Linked DNA regions of Styela clava. The protein of the gene in region 1 purifies or fractionates together with the protein of each later gene. This does not show direct contact. Links are inferred from orthologs where the notes say so. Each region holds a gene or a part of one and is shown on either strand. Other genes may lie near its edges.

Region 1 (9,915 bases):
TTTATATAAAACTATCGTATTTTGATATAATAAAATTCTATATATTCACCTTTCTTCGAATGAAAGTTCATCCCAGTATTTTCTTAAAGGACGATAGTCGATTTCTGAAAATAAAGGGATTGCAATGATGATAAACGGAGAAAATAGAAGAAAAAATGAAATGAAAAGTATGAAAAAATAAAGGAATGAATACAAAAAAAAAAAAAAACGAAAAAAAAAAGAATATGATGAAGTGGAAGCGTCGAACGCAGACGAAAAATATAAAAGTTGGATGAAAGAAAAAGAAGCTAGCCTAAAGAAAGAAGAACACCAAGAAAATGAAAACTAGAATTCGGTTGGAAACGGTCAGAGACCGAAGACTTATCGATCGAAAGTTAGGGGATCCCCCAAAACAGAAACTGCAGTTTCAATTCGAAAAATTCTGCAAACCCGAACTGGATTGTTTTGAATAGTTTTCAGCCAATATCAAAAATGTAGGAAACAATAGCCAACTCCCCATGTCGTCGTCAAAATACTACTCGAGGAAATACTTTTATGAAGAATTCTGCAAATCGGAACTGGATTGTTTCGATTAGTTTCCAGCCAATAGCCTATTTACCAATCCTATATTTTGTGTCAAATACAACATCGCTAACCCGGGTTGCGACGGCTATTCAAACACAGCCTAGCGATATTTTGGTGAGGAATTCTGCAACCCCTAACCTGATAGACATAGAGGTTTATGGACATTGCTTAAACTTTAAAGAGTAATTATAAGTAACGAGATACGATCTCGCAGCGTGTATCCTTCGCTCTGACTCAATAGCGTGGAAAATTTCTCGAAGGAAACTTGCGCATCGCGACGACGTCAAAGTTACAAGAGAGATATGGACAATGCTCAAAGATTAATCACGAGATACGATCTAGCGGTGTGTATCCTTCTCTCTGGCTCACTAGCGTGAAAACTTGCGCATCGGACATGCACACACACATTCAGCGCGTCTCGAAAATCTCTCGCTTTGTAAAAATCCAGATCTCTTCATCACTAATTAATTAATAACTCGCTAATTATACGACATAATTCATCCAAAATCAATAGGCTACTGGTCCGAGATATGATGAATGCACATGCAAAATTTGGAGCAGATTCAACCACGCCTTCGTGAGATATCGCGTGCATCTAACACACAGACAGACAGACAAATACCTATCAACATACTTACCGATTTTAAGATCGATAAGTAACAAAAGAGAGAACTGTAAATATATACCTTTGCATTCCGGTTTAACGTATTCCCATTTTCCATTTTTGCACATATTCTTGTATTGCCGTGGACTTGGAAGTTTGTAACCGTATTTGCAAATGTAGTGAACAGCCATTCCATTGTAAAATTTTCCTTGAATGGGCCCGTTTAAGGGTGATCCATTTTTTATCTCTGCCTCTTCGGGCGGACAAAACTCTGTATGTATACATATTTGTTGAATACAGTAAAAGAAAATTTCCAGACTCCAATACTTTTATTTTATTTTTCAGCTGAGGTTGAAAAAATGGGAATTGAGACATTACTGATAATATATTTTTTTCAATATTGATTTGATATTTGCAAACTTTATCCAAATCTGGTTTTTGTTTTGTAACAGTAATCAATCGAAAATGAATAACCTTTAACTGTATTAATAAGGTTCTTTTTTAATTTAAATATTTCAGGGAATTCGGATTATCCCACAAAATTTTAATCATTTCAAACCAACGAGATTTTTATCACCCGCTGCATAGTCATGATCAACTAAAACCATAAGTCATACAAAAATGCGTCGTACTTTGTGGGTTGAAACATGTCGCTACTTCAGTCCATTGTCCATTGCCCTGGCATACAGCATATGCTGGTCCTATACGTCGAAGGGCCAAAAAACAGGAGAACATGGCCCTTTCTCCTGCACTGTAAAGTTTCTGTTGTCCATAATCAGGAAGCACGTAGCCATTTTTGATCAAAGGTTTTTGACATGCTGCATCTGAAATCAATTTGTAATATAAATATGTGATATGTGATACTATATCAAAGGTATTTCCTTGATTACAGCACTACACCATTGCTTTGCAGTCGTTAATAACCAATATTTGTAGTTAAATGAAGATTCAACACAAACTTCTATTTAAAGATGAAATTTTTTTATCCGTTCATAAATGCTGTAGCGTGACAGAAATCAATTATATTCAGTTTAGAATACAAAAATAAAGTTGTTTAACAAATTCATAAGAATAGTATTAAAATGAAAATATTTTATTTCCTGATTCTTTTTCAAATAAATAGTATATATATTGAACAAAAATTTTGAAATCAATAATTAGCTGAAGTGTTATGGAAAATCGGCCTTTCAGACTAAGACAGGCTATCCGTAATATTGAAATATAAAAATTTCGAACTTGATGCAATTTTGTACATCATTCTTTTTTAGAGTTTGATATCACTCATAACATTGCGATATGTCTCGAGTATGGTGTATAATATTTATATAAAATGATATATATATATATATAAAGTATATTAAAGCGAACATGTTTAAAGTAGACTTAAACACTAGAAAATGACTGACACTACGAAGCTTATACAAATAAGCATATATATCTACTAAATGTTATATAGTTTATCCATTTTTTCTTATATCCATATTTGGCTGTTCACCAGCGGTTTACTTTGTGTGCTTTTCACATCATTGCTAATTCTGCAGCAGCCGAATTTTTCCACTTAAAATTTTCTATAAAACGTGTACAAAATAAAACAAAAAATAAATAAATACCTGAAAGTTGTATAACGCAAATGGCAACTACAAGTGCAAATAAATCTCGGATTCTTTCCATTTTTATCCAGATATTCGACCGCTCGCTCCAGATGTATTATATCAATGTCAAGTATAAAAATGGAACAGCACTATAATATTAGACTTCTTTTCCCTGCGGGCTTATATCGTGGACGATTTGCACAAAAAATCCGCGGAACAAGACAACGACATCGCCGATTAGAAAACTATAATCAAAGTGATAATATCCTGTTGCCAAACACGCGTTGGTACAGGTAGTGAAGGGAAATTACATGGATTATTAATAAAAGACAACAAATGTATGTAACGAACTCTTGTAACAAAAATACCAAAATATGCAATACAACCAAAATATCTTGCGAAAAGGTCAATTGGGTAAATATAGGGAAAAAAGTTCTCCCTCTCTCTGCGACGGTTCAAAGCATACCAAAGTATTTTAAAATCACCAGAATTCATGGATGATCAATAACATTTATATAAGGAGCATTTATCTACCTGCGTCCATACGGAAAACCGAACTGTCTATTCCACATCCCCCAATAATGAAATGAAGAAATTGAACGCTATGGTTCATGCTACAGAATTTGTCAAGTTGCTTTATGATAGACATAAGGCATTGAAATATCCATCTAAATCTAAATGTGTTTCATGTTTTAAATAATTATGTACATATTTTAAGAAAATGCTTTAGACACAAAATAATTTGTATTGTGCTTCTTATCTAGATTTATTTAAGACATCATGCCCCGGGCTTACGTAATCATCCAAATTAGTTTATTTTTTGTTCGTATTTACTCATACCACGTTTTTATGAAAGTTCGCAATAAAACAATCAATACTTGGTAAAAAAATTCTGTTCATAAAGCATTTTACCCTGTCGATGGGCCGCATAGTGATGTTATTAAACAAACCTTTGAGGCTCAATTAAAACTCCGTTAACATAAACACACAATTTCATAGTAATATTGAAATTTATTTTTAATATGGCTTAATAAAAAAGCCGCTAATTAAGTTGTCAATGCGCTGTTAATAACAGTCTACCAAGATGTAAGGGTACGCTTACTCAAAAATCGGATTATTGACGAGCCAAAACATTTTAACCAATTTGGATAACAATTTTTGTATCAAGTCAAAACATTTTTACTTTTATTTCACTTAAAATTTGTAGTGAAAGGTTACAAAACAAACGAGATTGGCTAAATTGAATTTGCAATATTTGTAAATGAAACTGTACCGTTTCTTCTTTAAATAACATATTGCTTTCATTTTTAGGTATCTTCTCTATTTATGAACGATTGAGTAAATTGTTTCGGTTTTCTATATAACTTATTATATTTGAGACTATACGCTAGTTCCATAATATTTCATTACATGTAACGTAAGGTATCGATTCCTATCGTAGTCTTCATTTTTTTGCCATATATCAAAAAAACTTTATCCTACTCTAGATGTGTATTTAGTAAGCAATTAATTGAGTCAAAAGTCACCACCGACCAGCGGTTACGTGAACCACCCTATGGCTACGGGGAGTCCAGCAATCTTCCCGCACTGAATTATCGCCTACGCCAGGGGTCGGCGTTCGAAACTGCAAACCTATACAGGGTAATCAGAGGTGCGGTTGCGTGGGTTATATGCAGGGCTACCATCGATATGAACCCAAAAATAAGGACATCGGGGAAACATAATAATGGAATAACAAAGAACGAAATGTTATAAACAAAATGTATTCACGCCAGTGCGACACGTGTCTAATCATACTTTGCACTAGAAAAAATTTGCTCCAGCAGTTCTTTATTCTTGGAAACTATCTGTTCCATCTGACTTTTAAGTTATATTTTGATTCAAGTTACACGAACTGATTTTGGCCGGTAGGCTATTTTTTTGTTGCTGTCATTGTGTCAATTATTTCGCTGTTATCAAGTAATGAGAGCGCGTAGCAAACAATGAGGTTGTAAAATAGCATTTCTAGCAAATCATTCATTCGAATTGAACTTTACACATAAAATAAAGACAAAAATAAGGACACATGTCAAAATAAGGACAAATCTTAGAAATAAGGACGTTATGGCAGCCTATACGCTTTGGTGGGAGGCAGGACGCAGGAGTACCATGCGCCACCCAGTCGAGCCATTTGAACAAGGAGACTGTATTCAAAATGACTTTTGAATAAACAAAATTTGCATTTTTTATGTCTTATTTTTGCAATCTTAAAATTAGTTTTTGTTAATTTACAATGCTTTAATTATGGACTCAATTGCCGGTTACAACTCCCATCATCCGTGATAAGGGAGTTCCCCGTCATTCCACTTTGCCGCTAATTCTGAAGCCCGTTTTGTTTCTTTCTGTATTTTACTTCCAGATATTTTGCCTTTATCTCTGTTTATTGCTATGGGTGATCCTCAATACGTGAAATTTGTGTCGCAAAAAATAAATAAAGTAAGATGGAGACCCACTCGATCGAGTCTACAGAAACCCGACGTCTTTATAACTGGGAGCTGGGAAAACAAGACAAATACAATCAATGTTTGGTCGGTGCAAGGAGGAGACGCCATTGAAGATGAAAACTTGGAAACTGATAAGTTGAGATGCGCTCATAAATGCAGGGTACCAGGTAGATATAAACATCAAATTATATTAAGCTCATTTTTTATACAAAACAAGTTGCTGAAGTTCGATATCTGTTTAGTCCAGGGGTCACCAAACTACGGCCTGCGGGACCGTTCCGGCCCACGGCGTCCTCTCATCTGGCCCGCAACAACACAAACAAAGTTATTTCCGAAATTTTTTTCCATGAGATGTTTCCCCGAGAATCGACTTCCTTGTTTATTTCTTAACATTGTTCATTCAGCAAGATGCAAAAAGTGACGTAACAATAAGCCTTTTTGCATCCACTCAGACAGTTTTTAAATGTTATTCGTTGGTTTTTGGTTGTGTTTCGGAAATTTAAGTATGAATCGAATAAGTCAATCATCATTTTTCCTTTTTAGGAGTTGTAGTGTAATTGCAGTAATCCAAAATTATTCTAGGAATAGCTGTTATATAAAAGGCTAAAATTCTCTACCAGTACGCAACAGTTTTTGCGAAGGATGCACTCTTGGCGCATGCTTTAGGCGAAACTGTTACTGTGTACGTTCCTTGTGCTAAAATGAACGTGGAACGTGCATTTTGCGCTAATAGTGCTGTAATTCTACCAAGTCACAATAACTTTTGTACTGCTTACATGCGGCTATGCATGACAGCAATGTTTTGCTAACAGCTAACCTCAGAATAGTTTTCAAGATCTAGACATCTTGTATATTTGTTTTGCCATGATGTTCTCAATCTATATTCTGCGATATAGAATTTGATATTCAAATCTTCAGAATTGTAGAATATATATTTTTGAATAAATTGAATGGATTTCCCAACTTTTGTTTATTTATTATATTGCATTTACAAAAATATTGGCCCCTTTCAACACAGTTTGAGTCATACCTGGCCTGCGGTCAAAAAAGTTTGGTGACCCCTGGTTTAGTCTATTGCAGGGGTCACCAAACTACGGCCCGCGGGCCGGATCCGGCCCGCAACGTCATTTTATCCGGCCCGCGGCGTCATTTTATCTGGTCCGCAATAACACGCAAAAATGGCTAAATTTTTTTCCAAGGAAGATTTTCACGAGCATCGTCGTGCTTGTTTATTTCGTAACATTGGCCAATCGGCAAGATGCAGAAAAGTGACGTAATAATAGGCCTTTCCGCATCCGCTCAGACACTTTTGTCACTCTGACAGATTTTCAGTCGTGGTTGTAAACAAAACTTCGTTTTTGCGACTTTGAATGCTACTAGTACGTAACGTTTTACACTTGTACGCGATACACTTGTACACTCGTGGCGCTTGCTTTCGACGAAACTGTTTGTTTTTCGTGCTAAAATAAACGTCAAATGTGCATTTTGTGCTAACATTACTGTAATCCCTCGCGTACTGCTCCAATTTCAAAAGCCACACTAACTTTTGTACTGCTTTAATGCGGATATTCATGTAGGTATGTTACAAAAAAATTGAAGTTCATCCGACTTGAATAAAAACTGCTCCAGTGGAAAGATCTGAGTAAAAATAGAAAACAATACCAAGTTTGGAATAAACGGTCAAGAAATAACGGAGATATCGGAATTTTAGTACCGCCCGACAGCCAATTTTTTCCATAATGATTGTTTTACTTTTTTGATAAGAACTGAACTAAATATGGAAAAATAACACATATCAATCACTAATCTTTCGATGTGCGTCACATCTATGGTATATTGAGACTATTTCAGGATTTTATTCTGGCAACGGTCATTGACACCGCCGAAAGATCGTCGCAAATAAACGCTGGAGTTGTGCATGATAGTTTGACAGTGGTTCATTGTGGGTAATAATTAACGATGTTCTGATTGTACGAACTTCATAAAAATTGGTAAGTATCAAGTTAGACAAGAAATACACACGTCCATATAAATTTTATTGGTGTCCGTAGACAATATCATTAATTTGCACTACGTATAACTGGAGAGTAATTTTTAAAAGCGTCGAATGTTGGGAAATTTATGCGCTAATGAAAAAATTCAAATACCAGATAATAGTTGTTTATTTTATCTAAATTATGTCAAAATTTCATAGAATTCCAAGCTACAGCAGGCACTCGTTTTTATGAGCGGTATTTCAACACGGCGTAACGGTAGACGTGATGCGAACATTTTTTGCCGCGGATTTTGTAACATTTCTAATTCATGAAAGCAACGTTTTGATAACAGCTAAACTCAGGATAGTTGTCTAGATATAGAAATCTTGTTAATTTTTTTTTCCTAGGTTGTTCTCGATCTATATTCTGCGATATTCCCAACTTTTGTGGATTTATTGTATTGCATTGACAAAAATATTCATCCGGCCCGTTTCAACACAATTTGAGTCATACCCGGCCCGCGGTCAAAAAAGTTTGGTGACCCCTGGTTTAGTCTATTGGTTCAAATATTTCCATACCAGCATACCTCTGCACCTGAAGTTCTATGAAGGGTAATAAAATTATATATGTCATAACATAACAGTTTAAATCCTTTTACTGGTATTTAAAAAATTACGGTGATTTAAAACTCAAAAATTAGGTACCATAATAGAAACAAATTAACATTAAATAATAACTTAAATATACAATTGTAACCAAAATAGTGGTGGATTTTAAATACAATACTGTTAATTTGACTGGCACATTGATTACAGGAATTTTGAATGGTGCATTAGGTCGGGGATGGAATATATCATGCATAAAACAGGCTCACTTTATCAGCCATCACCCTGAAATTATAACAGATTAACCTCGGCCCCTCCTCAATACAGCAATATCTGACCTACATGAGCAATGGGATGAAAGCCTTGCTTTGCCATAAATCTTTTTGTGGAGTTTTCATTTCAGTAGGGCACTGTTCTGTCATTTCGAGATGTCCCAACATTTGGTTCAATAAAAAAAAACTCTATTGGTCTTTGAAACGAGGGTATCTTGGCACGACTGCAAATACGTAACATCGCGCCATTTTTGTTTCTGTAATAATTTAAATCAATCGCGACGTGCGTCAGCTGTCATGTGGCCAAATTTATGATTTTTTTTATCGAAAACCCTGGAATGCTACTGTCTATCTTTTTTCCTTCAGCAAATCAGATTATTTTTTGCTTTCGTTTAGTTAATTGCGCAGCGACATTTTGCGGATATGGAGGCCCAGACTGTCTCTCAAAGAAGTGGCACTCACTTTTATAATTAATTTCTTTTAATGTTGGGGCTATTCTTCGAATCGAAGAACTGTGCCCTACTGCATTTGCTGAATTCACGTATTGTGATCTTTTCATATTCATGTTTTTTTAACTTATTATCCTAATATGTAGTAACTTTTTCTTATTTCAGGTAATATTGACTCGCTCACTTTTGCTGATCCAGACACAGTCATTGCGGGATTGGGGAATGGTGATGTTGTGCTGCTTAAATATTCTGTATCTCAGGTATGAATGGTATCTCTATATAAAAACTACAGAGCTATCACTAAATGACATTTATTTGGGTTGGGATTGAAATGTATGAAATTATATAACCATCTGTTCCAATTCTGTTATTAAATAAGTAAGTACCGATGTTTCAATGTTTGTATTGTGCAGTTGTTTTGAATAAAAACAATTCCTCTTTCGCTTACCCTTCACTAAAAGATTAATTTGTTTCAGATAATTTCGAACATAGGTTAATAAACTCACTCATTCAATGGTAATGTGTCAAAAATTATTGCCTATTCTAATTTAAGGGTCATCAGGCCAAGCCTTCTGGCATCTTGTATGCCGATGTTCAATCTTTCTCAATTCTCAGCCTTATACTTACTGCCAGCTCCTGTACTCAGGAGCTACTATTTCTGAAAGGTCTTGAATATTTCTGGTAAACTGAGATTTTTATCCTACACGTCCTATAATTAGGTCCAATCCTGGCTGCAAATACATTGTGGCTTGTGTTCTCCTTCATTCTGTAAATATCAATTTTTTTGTTTTGTTCTTCACACCTATCTAAAATCAATATTTTCTAATACATCATAACTGTTATGGCATCATTTCCAGATGCTAGATATAGTACAAGAGTGGAAGGGAATGCACCATATATCTGGAAACGGAATACCATGTACTGGGGTTGATGTCAGTATACCTGATTTTGTCACTGTTGGAGAAGATGGAAATATTAATTTGATGAGAATTGGAAGTGATAGGCTACTGAGAAAACTTGGTAATTATCTGCTACATAGATCGGGAGAATAGTTCGAATTTAATATGGGTTTATTTGGCAACTGAACCATTTCAATAATCGACTGTATTCATTCTTGTAAACTGAATCATGTTAATCAACCCTATAAGCTCTCAAAGCTTTGTTTTTATCCGTGTAACTTGTATTCTCGGTCATCAACTGCCAAATAAGAAAGAGTCACAGCATATCTTTTGGATAGCTGGTTATTTCAGTGTTGCATATATAAAGACTTAGCTGGTGGCAGAAGCCACTACTGAACAACTGTGCAATTAATCCATTCGTTCACCTTTCTGCTCTCTTAGCGAGATAAAAACCTGCATTCTTTGCTTATG
Region 2 (10,833 bases), on another chromosome or scaffold:
ACGGCCTCTCGTCCGGTTACCATTCCAATTCGGGTATGGGATTAGTTTTTACTGTATTGTTTGTTTTCGGAAGCATGGACTTGGTGGTGGAGGAAGCCGTAACCGACCAGCGGTTACGTGAACCACCCAACGACGGCGAGGAGTCCAGCAATCCTCGCGCACATAACCATCCCTGCATGGGATTCGAACCCACGCAGAGTAATTAGAGGTGCGGTGGGGAGCGTATTCCTAACGCTTAGCCCGTTGATATTACTGTTGCTTTCCAATAGGTTACATTTACCTTGAACAAAATTTTAAATGAGTATTGTAAAATAAATCAGATTTTTTTGCAATGAGCAACAGTTGAATATAGAAAAAACAGTTGAAAATATTATTCCACATCGTATTTTCTATAACATATGCATAACATGAATCAAAATATATATTACAAGTTGTTGAAGCAGGATATCAGACTTAAATGTTTTTTCGATTTATTTTGCAGGAATAAAGGATAATTTAGCAGAGTGGATAGATGGATCTTTTGTTCGGTATCACCATTTTTTGAAAAATCAAGAATTTAATGCTGATTTGTGTGCTGTCATGACTTGCAACTATGGAATTCACTGGGAAACTGAACCTTGTGATAATGAAAATTATTACATTTGTGAATATCCTGCCATTCTTAAATCAGGTCAGATTTAATAGTTTGAGACATTAAATCAATTAAGCTAATATACTATTTTGGTTCTGAATTTGATGATAAGCAGCAGTGTCGGATCTTAGTTAATTAGAGAAAATTTGTTATACCATTTAGTCAAGTCTGAATTTTATCATCTTGGAAGAAATATGAAGGCTGAACTCGGTAATGATGCATTGTTAAATGTTTACTCTCTTCTGACACAAAATATCGAACATTGCATGGAAAGTTGTATGAAGGTTACAACAGTAACAAAACAGTGCAGGTAATGTGAGCTTCATGATTTAAACTATTTTTCATTTACCGTAAATATTGTTTATATGATTATCGTTATTATCAATTCTATGTAATCAGGATAAATTTCTCCACCCAACTCCCAAGTCGGAGCCATCTCCTGGATGACAAAAATATTGACTTCAACAAAACCAAATTTTGATTCTATGTGAGCCTCCTTCAAGTGCCTGTTGAGAATGTTTAGGCAACTTGATGCATATTTAGTTTCTGTCTGTAACAATAATTTATTATTATTTGAATTATTTCCATTTTGAATACTTTTTATTCATTTTTTTCTAATTTTATCTGAGTGTAATTCATTAATATCAAGCTTTTTATGTTAAAATGGAATTACAGATATGTTCTTTTTAATGGCACAATGTGTTATTATCTGTTTTCTATTTCATCTGTGGTTTTGAAGCAAAACTCTGGAACTTATGACTTTTTCGAAAGGAAAATTATGCAAGGTTAGATTTAGAAACTATTTTTGATCAATAAGTACTAAACTGAATATGATAGTTCACATAATTCTATTTAGACAACTGTATTCAACCTATCATAAAAACAATTGGATCATTCTACGTTTCTTTGAGGCATAATATATCAAAGGATCATCAAAATACCATTCATAATGAAGAAAATACAGATTATTGCTTCAGATTATCACAATCTGGGGGAATCATGGTGAGATATACCTAATTTATTTCCATGTTCATTGTATTATGGTTATTTACGATCACTAACATTTTTACTCCATCCAATCATTCATATAAAGTCACCTTCTCCTGAGTTCATACATTTGAGTATGTTATAGATAAAATATCATGAAGGACAGCTTTTTACAGGTATCTTGAAAATGTGATATTAGAGTCAATGTTTTAAGATAGTACGGTAGTTCATTTGCAGTCAGGTAAAAAAATCTTAAATTCTGAAGGTTGCACAACTCAAAACTCACATCTTTCATTTCAGAATCACCACTTGTGGAGTATTATTTTATTTTGTCAATTTTCTAATTATAACTTTTTCAAGCATTTTTTATAATATATTTTTGTTATAAAATTTATTACCTTTTCTAGTTTTTGTTAAATTCGTTCAGTTACAGTTCAGGATATCTTGTAGAGTTGAAAAAACAATTTGAATTCTACTACTAAATGTCTTGTATGGGTTTGCAGTGATGTGCATAAATAGAACAGAACTTTCGATGATAGCATGATGGCTTATGCAATTGATATTGATTAAGGCTTGCTGTACCATTCAATGGCCAGGGTATCCAAATTAATTACTCACAACCAAATTAGGCTGATAATAATAAGATTGGACATTGTGATATCAACTATTTGATTGTTCGCTAACAATCTATTCAAGACCCTAGCACTAAGTATCCACGTGCAAGTACATGTGTGTATAATGTTACGAGTAAAAATATAAACTCAATATCATTTTGTTTTTTTGAAGCATATCAACATTGACCTGACAGTTCTTGCAAAAGTCTATCTCATCGGTCTACTCGGTACAATGAATGGATTCACCAATTCTACAGATATAAATAGCTCTTTTTCAGTAGCTAATATCGTTTATGGGATTGATGAAGAAAACTTATTTGGAATATCTTTTGAAATTAGCCAAGTATGTTATATATATTGCTTGTAGATTTACATATCACTTACTTTCAGCTACTTAATACCAGAGTAGGTATTTGAAATACAATCACTTGCATTTTCTAGAATACTCTACCAAATGACTTTTATGAAAACACAATTGGTACATATAAGTTAATATTTTCTCTTTTATTAAGCATTTTAAATAAATGAATTATATTTTGCAGTTGAGGCTTTTTCACCCACTTGAAATTCCAATAATGACTCAGTTCATTAATATATCGATTGTATATCATGGAATTGCAATTGAAGGCAATGCTGAAACTATATGCTTCAAATTAGAAATAGATGGATGCCCACTTCACTCAGATGGTAAGCTATGGAAATTGTTGACTTTAAGTGAAAGTTTTCAGGGTTGAGTTGTTTGATGATTTGAAAATGTTCTTTGTATGTGTCCATACACTATTTTTGTTATTTAGTTCAAATAGAAGTGGTACATAAAAATAACATATCGCTTCATGACATACACATTTTCTATAAAATCTATCTTTGCTTCCGATAATTAAATTTTCTATTTTGTTATTGTTTGTCACAGGTTATGATATACTCAAGCGTGACAGTGTCAATTTCATATCTGCCGTCGATATACTTGTTGATATAATCCAAGACCTAAACTTTAGGCACCTCAAGTTGTATAGTTTTCATTTCAACTCATGATTAATTGACTATGACTTTATAATGATGTTATAGAAAAGGATAAAAAAGTGGCAGGCAATTACAGTCGCCTGTTCGGCAGTTTCAAATATATAAACTATTTTTAGAATATATTGAGTACAGCAATTCATTATCAGCTCAGTGTGGAGTGAGTAAAAAAGGGGTAGTCTTGATTATATTTCCATTTAATTGATCATTTTGTTTCACTTTTAGATATTGATAAATATCCTCATGGATACTTCCCACCAAGTCCAACTGATGATGAAGATTTGATTACTAAAGACACAGTCACAGTTCATTGTCAAGATTGAATATCTTTTGTAAACACTGATTGATATAATTATGAAAACATGATCATGAACCTGATGAATATATTCTGTATTTCTGAATAGTCTGTTCACAGTATATCTATCATAGCTATTTATACCTCTGAATGCATTGCTTTTCCCAATAAAATGTACTTAAATATATAGTAGCCTACTTTATATATTTTTGCTCGATAGATATGTGTACAGTCTGAAGTTATTGCCCAATGTTGACTTTCCCAATTAGAAATGAGTTGAATTAGAAGTGTATACAATCTACTGATAGAACGAGCGGTAAATATTGATTGGATTGAATTTATTGGAGGCCCACTAGAAAATGCTCTGCGACTCACAGTTTGCCAAACACTGCAGGGGTATTGAGCTATCTGACTCGAGTGCACAAGAGGTTGCTTGTGCGTAAACATTTCGTAATACCTTGAAAAAGGAATAGGCTTGGACCAATGTATCCAAAGTTCTTGTCAAAATTATGGAAGAAACATGCTGGTTTTCACAAAGCGAAAAACATTAAATCAATGTACATCAAAAATGATATTTTTATTGAAAAGGCTTGCATCGGTCGGTAACAAAATCCTTTCATTGGGAATGGATATTAAAATTAGTAATGCATGCTTGCTATTGGATTTGTAAGATCAGATATACAGGAACAAAGTGAACCATAAAAACCCGAGGGAAAGATTTTTGAAGTCACGGATTCCCAGTGGCTAGATAATTCGTGAGCAAGTTCGTAACTGACCAGGTTTAGATATTTATTTTCATTGTGCAAGAATCAATGTAAAGCAATAACCACATATGATAAAGTAAACCTAACAAAATCAAAAAAACATTGACTCATAGCAGTTAATGATGCATGGCGCAAAAGACTCAGAATGTCATCGTGCGTTGCAGAATTCAAGCAGCAAATATTGCAAAGAAACAATTCTATAAGAAAAAATAAACTCGAAATACGCAACCATGTAAAGAACAACTGATCGGTGAAAGTAACCATGCGTTCTAACCATAATGACCATGCTCAAACGCCGAGTGTAAGTACGTTACCAGCATGTTCTCTTGGATCTGTTCCACGTTAGTTAGTCGTTAGTTCCACGAAATGGCATGTGTATTGTATAAACTTGTTATTGTAGAACCGGGGACTTAATTAATGGGCTATTTTTCACAGAATGAAACAAATCAGGTAACGGTATCCAGTTTGGCAATCGTCGCAAAATTTGTAATTAGGTGAGGCAAGAATTTTTCTTGTGATATTTTCTTCCGCCTAAAAATTAATATATTATCTTTTTAAAATTTAATCACGTCTCTGTGGTGGCCAGCTGGGTCCTTGTGATATTTTCTTCCGCCTAAAAATTAATATATTATCTTTTTAAAATTTAATCACGTCTCTGTGGTAGCCTATGTGTGTGCATGAATAATCATTTTAGATGAATGAACAAGTGCGATATACAGACTTTTCGACGAGCTATTTAGACCAAATGTTACCGCCTAATAGGTGACATTATGCGGTTGTGAGTTTGATTTTGAGTCGCCTTGCAAGTTGTTTAAAATATTAATATGGACCACTCCCCAACCTTAAACCCCCGATTTCCCTATACTCAACTGTTTTTTAAAAGTACCGATAAAAAATTTTAGCCTAGTATGTCACAGCTATTTATACATTAATTTTTTAATACTGCAATCAAGTTAAAACTCCTTAGAAGACAGAGTGATCATTGAATTATCTGATTTATATTTAAATTTCCGAAACACAACTGAAAACTAACGAATAGAGTTCAAAAACGCGAAAACAAGGTAATGTTCGCGACCACGCCTAAAAATCTGTGGGAAAAGTGTCTGATCGGATGCGAAAAGGGAGCATGATTGGCCAATGTCACGAAATAAACAAGGAAGTCGATGCTCGGGGAAAGGTCCATAGGATTTCACACACAAATACATATAGATTTATACAAAATTTGAGAATATTTAGGGTTCTGTATGAAATTTTTATAGTCAGAATGCTCTTTCTCATTCTCATTCTTGGTGTTAGCGTATGAGAAAATGAATTTTCTCATTAGTTACCTCGGAGACCCCTAATTCAGATTTTTAAGCAGGCGCGGATTTTATGAAAAACATTGATTTAAAAAGTAATACATTTGTAGTCTAAGTAGATAGCCGTTCTTCAAGCAAAAAGATGTGCCGGCTCAACTTTGCCGGTTATATATCCGGCGCTAATGCGCAAACTATTTTGGATATGCCGTCACAACTGTCTGGCTCGCCGCGCGGGATTGAATTCAAAGGTCTGAGCTATTGTTGTGATGCCGAGATACTGTACCGGTATCTTATTCCTGTATTCGAGTTTCGCCAGCTACCTCCGACTACAGGACTTTAGCATCAGCTATCTCAATACTTGAATATCCCTGTGGACTACAATGTTTACCCCTAGCCGTACGCATACACCTGGTTCAGCTGGGTCCTCGCGAAGACGCTCAGCCGCTCCATTCACATTGACCCCAAGGCGTTCTCAACTGACTGGATCGAAATCATCTCTTGTCAGGAGGTCTGGTTTATATCCAAGGTAGGAAGTACTTCACACACATATATATAGGCTATATATAATCCTTTTAATTTTACATTTATAATGTTTCATTCATCCAATTCTGCAATTGCTGAATTGGTGGCAATTTATAATTAATTCGGTGGACTTGGCCATATATTTTAATATTTTTGCTCATTAAAAAATTGGTCATCTCTCAACCAGCAATAGAGTATTTGAAACTTTGTTGTTTAATTTAATTTTTTGTATCTAATACTGTAATATGAGCCATTATTTTTCAGTAAGTTTTAATGTTATGTAATACTTAAGGGTAACAGGGTAAACTGGCACATGTATTTCTGTGTTTTCACGTGTTAAACCTTTTGAAATGTTTTGCCAGTTTTCAAAATGTTCCCAATCTTTGGTGTGTTCATTATTTTCAAACTTTTGTGTATAATTTTCATGTATGTTGTTTATAATGAAAATAAAAATAATCTGTATTTCACATCAGTTCTAAAATAATGAACTAATAAATAATGGACATCTTCCAGTTCTAAACAATGTATCTTACAAAGTACAGATGCATAGTAATATCATTGCAATGTAACAACTATAAACAATTTACAAATTCTGAACTTGGTGAAACTTCAAATTTCAGGTCATCTCCAGCTGAGAGTTCGATACTTGGATCACCTTCTGTTTCTACTGTTTACAATACGACAAATTATACAGTTGAAACTGCTGGATCATCTTTGCCTGTTCTTGTCAATGAAGCCATCACCCTTGCAGATAGTAAGATGTTTAAACTTGTAACTAGAAGTCTTTTAGTTTTAACTTTTTTCTAGTAACTATTCAGGTTATTGATGAATGAAATACATTTACTTTTATTTACAATTAAAGTGGAGACTGACAAAGTATATAATCATTTTTTTTGTAGAAAATGTGTATTATTAAAAAATTACTAGTTTAAATTACTAGTTAGGCCGATCGTTTTATTTTTTTTTACACCCGCTTTAACATAATGTTGAATTACAGAATGAATTACTATTTATATTGAAATCGAGATAGCGATCGGAAACGCCGACTTATCGATTTAGCGGCGTGTATCCTTCGCTCTGACTCGATAGCGACATCGCATGTTCCATCACTAATTAATTAATAACTCGCTAATTATACGACATAATTCATCCAAAATCAATAGGCGTCTGGTCCGAGATTTGATGTATGCAGATTCAACCTCGCTTTCGTGAGATATCACATAGCATAGGAAAATGTGTCTAACACTTAAACAGACAGAAAAATACCTATCAACATACTTACCGATCGGGATCGATAAGTAACAAGTATTATTGACCAAGTATTACTTGTTTTGTGGCAAGGGTTGAGGAAAATTTTTTTGAATTCGAGGTGTTCCATACATTCAATGAATAGAATGCATTGGCTTGTATATATACAAGATGATTATATCATGTTATTTAAATATTTGCAAACAAGTTGTTTACTGATTTTCTACATTGTTCTAAAATTGTAATGTGAAATGATATTGTGTGAGAATTGTGTAAGAAATATGGAAGAGCCATTTCTAAATTGCCACATCACACTCATGAAATATGATAAAAATAGTGTTAAAAATATTGAATTATTTTTTCAGAATCAGAGCGAATAACAGTTGAAATAAATGACAATGGATGGGCTTGGTTGGTTTGTGGCAGAAAACTTTTTGTATGGAGATTTAAACAAGGAGTTTCAAAGGTATTTCATGTTTTATTTTATGCACAGTTTATGTTATATACTGAAATATTATTCAGTTGTGTTTAATGTAGACATTCTTCACGGGATTTGGTCTTTGTTTTTTTGAACTAGAGTTGATAACTAATATTTTTTGACTTTTCTAAATCTAAAACACAATTTTTTGTGTTCAAGTTTCAAATTTATATTTTTGGCAAGTATTACTTCAAACTTTTGATTAGACACCGGCTTGAAAATAATCTATTTGTTTGTAATTTTGTAGAGTATAATTTTTTCTGAATTTCAATGTTCGCCCTTCTGTCTTGAAACCCTCGATATGTAATTATTGAAAGTGGTATTATACAACGATCTCATCGATATTGATCGAAGTTACGCGATATCTCACGATAAACGAGGTTGAATCTGCTCCAAATTTTGCATATGCATTCATCATATCTCACCAAAAGCCTATTGATTTTGGATGAATTATGTCGTATAATTAGCGAGTTAATAATTGATTAGTGATGGGACACTCGTTGTCGCTATTGAGTCAGAGCGAAGAATACACGCCGCTAGATCGATAAGTCGGCGGTCTCTGATCGCTATCTTGTATGTTCTGTTGGTGTTGAAATTCAGAGTAAATTCTGTTTTTACAGAATGCTCTCTGCAAAGAATTTGCATTGCCACCTCTGAGTTCTTCTGATGGCGAGCATAAGTCCAGTTTAATTTATGTTGGGAAAGCCACCGATTCACCAGATGAAGGAATTGTCAGTTTGCTTGTGGTTACTCCCGCAGGGGGAGTCAGATTCTGGCCAAATATAATTCAAAATGTATCGTCTACTCTTGAAGGAAATTTAGATGGCATTGGTGCTAATTCTTCCGATGAAGAATGCATTAGATTAGCTTCAGTACGGGTGAGTAATTTTGGTTCATATACTTTACTACTATTTATCAAAACTCATACATTACGGTATTCTGTATTATAGAAAATGGGTTATGATAGTGTCAGGTTTAATGATATTCTGAATTTGCTATGTGGAGCTGACCAATGATTTGAATATAGATACTTTTATAACTAGTGGCAATGTAGAACCTTGTAGAACAATAATATATATGTATTGTAGACAAATCCATGTCGTGAAGCTTAACATAGATCTGAATATTGCAAATCCTAGTAACCTGGTTTCTTCGAGCGAGCGGCTAATTTAGGTCTCTAGTAGAACATTTTTTAAATATCTTGCTTCTTAGATTTTACATCAGTTTTCATGTTTTTGTGGGATTGACTAACCTCATTTGTTTGTGTTTTAGGGGCATGGATATCTTGTTGGTACCAGTAAAGGAGCATTGTTTCATATTATACCTTCTTTGGTAAGTCGCACCAGTAATACCTCTAATTATCCAATCACACTGGACTGCTTTTGTGTGTAAAAGTCAAACAAATTAATTTTTTACTTTTTTACTTTAATTGGAATTGAGTTGGAGACAAAATTTTTCACTAATTTGCTTACAATTTAATACTACATTTAATCAGAGGTCGTCTCGCTTGCTCAAATCATTGCTGGCACAAAGGGGTAAATATTGTTGAAAAAAGCTCTGTTTCACATCTTTAATGAAATTTGATGTCTCAGATCATCTTCTTCCCAAACTAAAATATGTATATTTCTCTTTGAAGTAACTGTAAGATTCACATCATTTATAAAAAAATTTCTGTAATAATTTGAATTCTATATTGCAGGATTCTGTCCATTGTGCCAGGTTGCAAGTTTCTCATGGAATGTTGGCAGGAATAGGTCGAAGGGTTTCATCTTTCTTCTTTTCATCCAGTCAAGAAATTGATGTGACTATTCTTTTTATTAAATTTTTATCAACATTGGCAGTCAGGCGCATTATGCTTGGAAAAATGCTTGCTAACGCACCTCTGATTACCATGCATGAGTTCGAATTCTGTGGGGATAGTTATGTGCGGGAGGATTGCTCGACTTCTTGCCACTGTGGGGATGCTGGTTGGTTATGGCTTTCTCCATCATCGAGTCATCGTTCTTAAACAATCCCATGTCTGACATGGACTGGTAATTGGAAGAGAGGCTGTGGTACACTATGTAAATATGATTATACTGTTTTATCGACTTTCCTTGGCTCTTTATTCGCTTTGATCTGATATAGAAAATAGCAAGTGATCACAGCCTTGATTTGGCGCTACCTTGAATCCTGTATAATCAGATTCACTTTGATTGGCATAAGCAAATTAAATATCTTATTTAGCATTTAAATTAATCAATTTGTCATATCTATCTAGCTTACAAATTTTATAACGCTGCATACATCTTCACGATCGGCACCTGAAATCATAATGTTGACTTCTTCTTCATTAAAAAAGTGGAAACTTGGATCAATCGGGTCTGGGAATGGTACTGATCATATGGTGGCACAAGCAGATCTGAACACTTTATTGAGGGAACCTATTTCAAGAAATATTTGGGTAAATTGTTTAGGGAGTATATTTCTGTTATAATTTTTTTACCGGTAAGTTAATTTGATTAGCATTTGGAATTTTATAATGTTGGCCTTTTTTATATACTACTCTTACCAGCCTTCACATGATATCAATAATACCGAATATTAACTGATGTATATGGCTACAAAAAGTGTGATTTAGTGTGAGGAAGGTATAGCTTATCTACTGCTGATATTTGCTATCTCTGACCAGAGTTATGCTTTTTCTGATTTTATTTTATGATGCTATGTGTTGATGAATGAATGTTGATGTTCATCAGGATATTCTCTTGTTTGTAAGGCCAATGCTTCATAAAAATCATTTCTTAGTTGAAGATTTAATATTTTATTTTTGCACCCATAAGAAAGGCACTTAGGACAAAAATCACCCAATTAGGACAAAAATATAATTCAATATAATTCTTCAAATATCATACCAATCTTATATTTTTAAATTCTACTTGATTATATTGGAAATGTTGATTATACTTGAACAATATTAAATTGTGTTTACAGAATGTT

What was found.
Region 2: the proteins of nucleoporin Nup43-like (region 1) and nuclear pore complex protein Nup133-like purify together in Homo sapiens (affinity purification with mass spectrometry; 5 studies listed by BioGRID and IntAct, counting the BioPlex papers as one, with this or other methods). This does not show direct contact. The link is inferred for Styela clava from reciprocal best matches to the Homo sapiens genes NUP43 and NUP133.

Annotation. Positions count from the first base shown.
Region 1 is NC_135250.1:22,085,988-22,095,902, reverse strand, and holds the start of nucleoporin Nup43-like, read left to right. Parts: upstream 1-5,096; 5' UTR 5,097-5,187; coding exon 5,188-5,410; intron 5,411-8,710; coding exon 8,711-8,805; intron 8,806-9,402; coding exon 9,403-9,565; intron 9,566-9,915. Other genes in the region: complement factor H-related protein 2-like, read right to left, coding at 50-104, 1,251-1,439, 1,801-1,992, 2,779-2,839. UniProt on the Homo sapiens protein: Component of the Nup107-160 subcomplex of the nuclear pore complex (NPC). The Nup107-160 subcomplex is required for the assembly of a functional NPC.
Region 2 is NC_135253.1:7,607,583-7,618,415, forward strand, and holds the start of nuclear pore complex protein Nup133-like, read left to right. Parts: upstream 1-5,789; 5' UTR 5,790-5,986; coding exon 5,987-6,132; intron 6,133-6,748; coding exon 6,749-6,882; intron 6,883-7,741; coding exon 7,742-7,842; intron 7,843-8,474; coding exon 8,475-8,732; intron 8,733-9,126; coding exon 9,127-9,186; intron 9,187-9,553; coding exon 9,554-9,655; intron 9,656-10,114; coding exon 10,115-10,297; intron 10,298-10,827; coding exon 10,828-10,833. Other genes in the region: uncharacterized protein LOC144421998, read left to right, coding at 482-670, 794-941, 1,307-1,416, 1,488-1,633, 2,405-2,575, 2,775-2,919, 3,475-3,572. UniProt on the Homo sapiens protein: Involved in poly(A)+ RNA transport. Involved in nephrogenesis.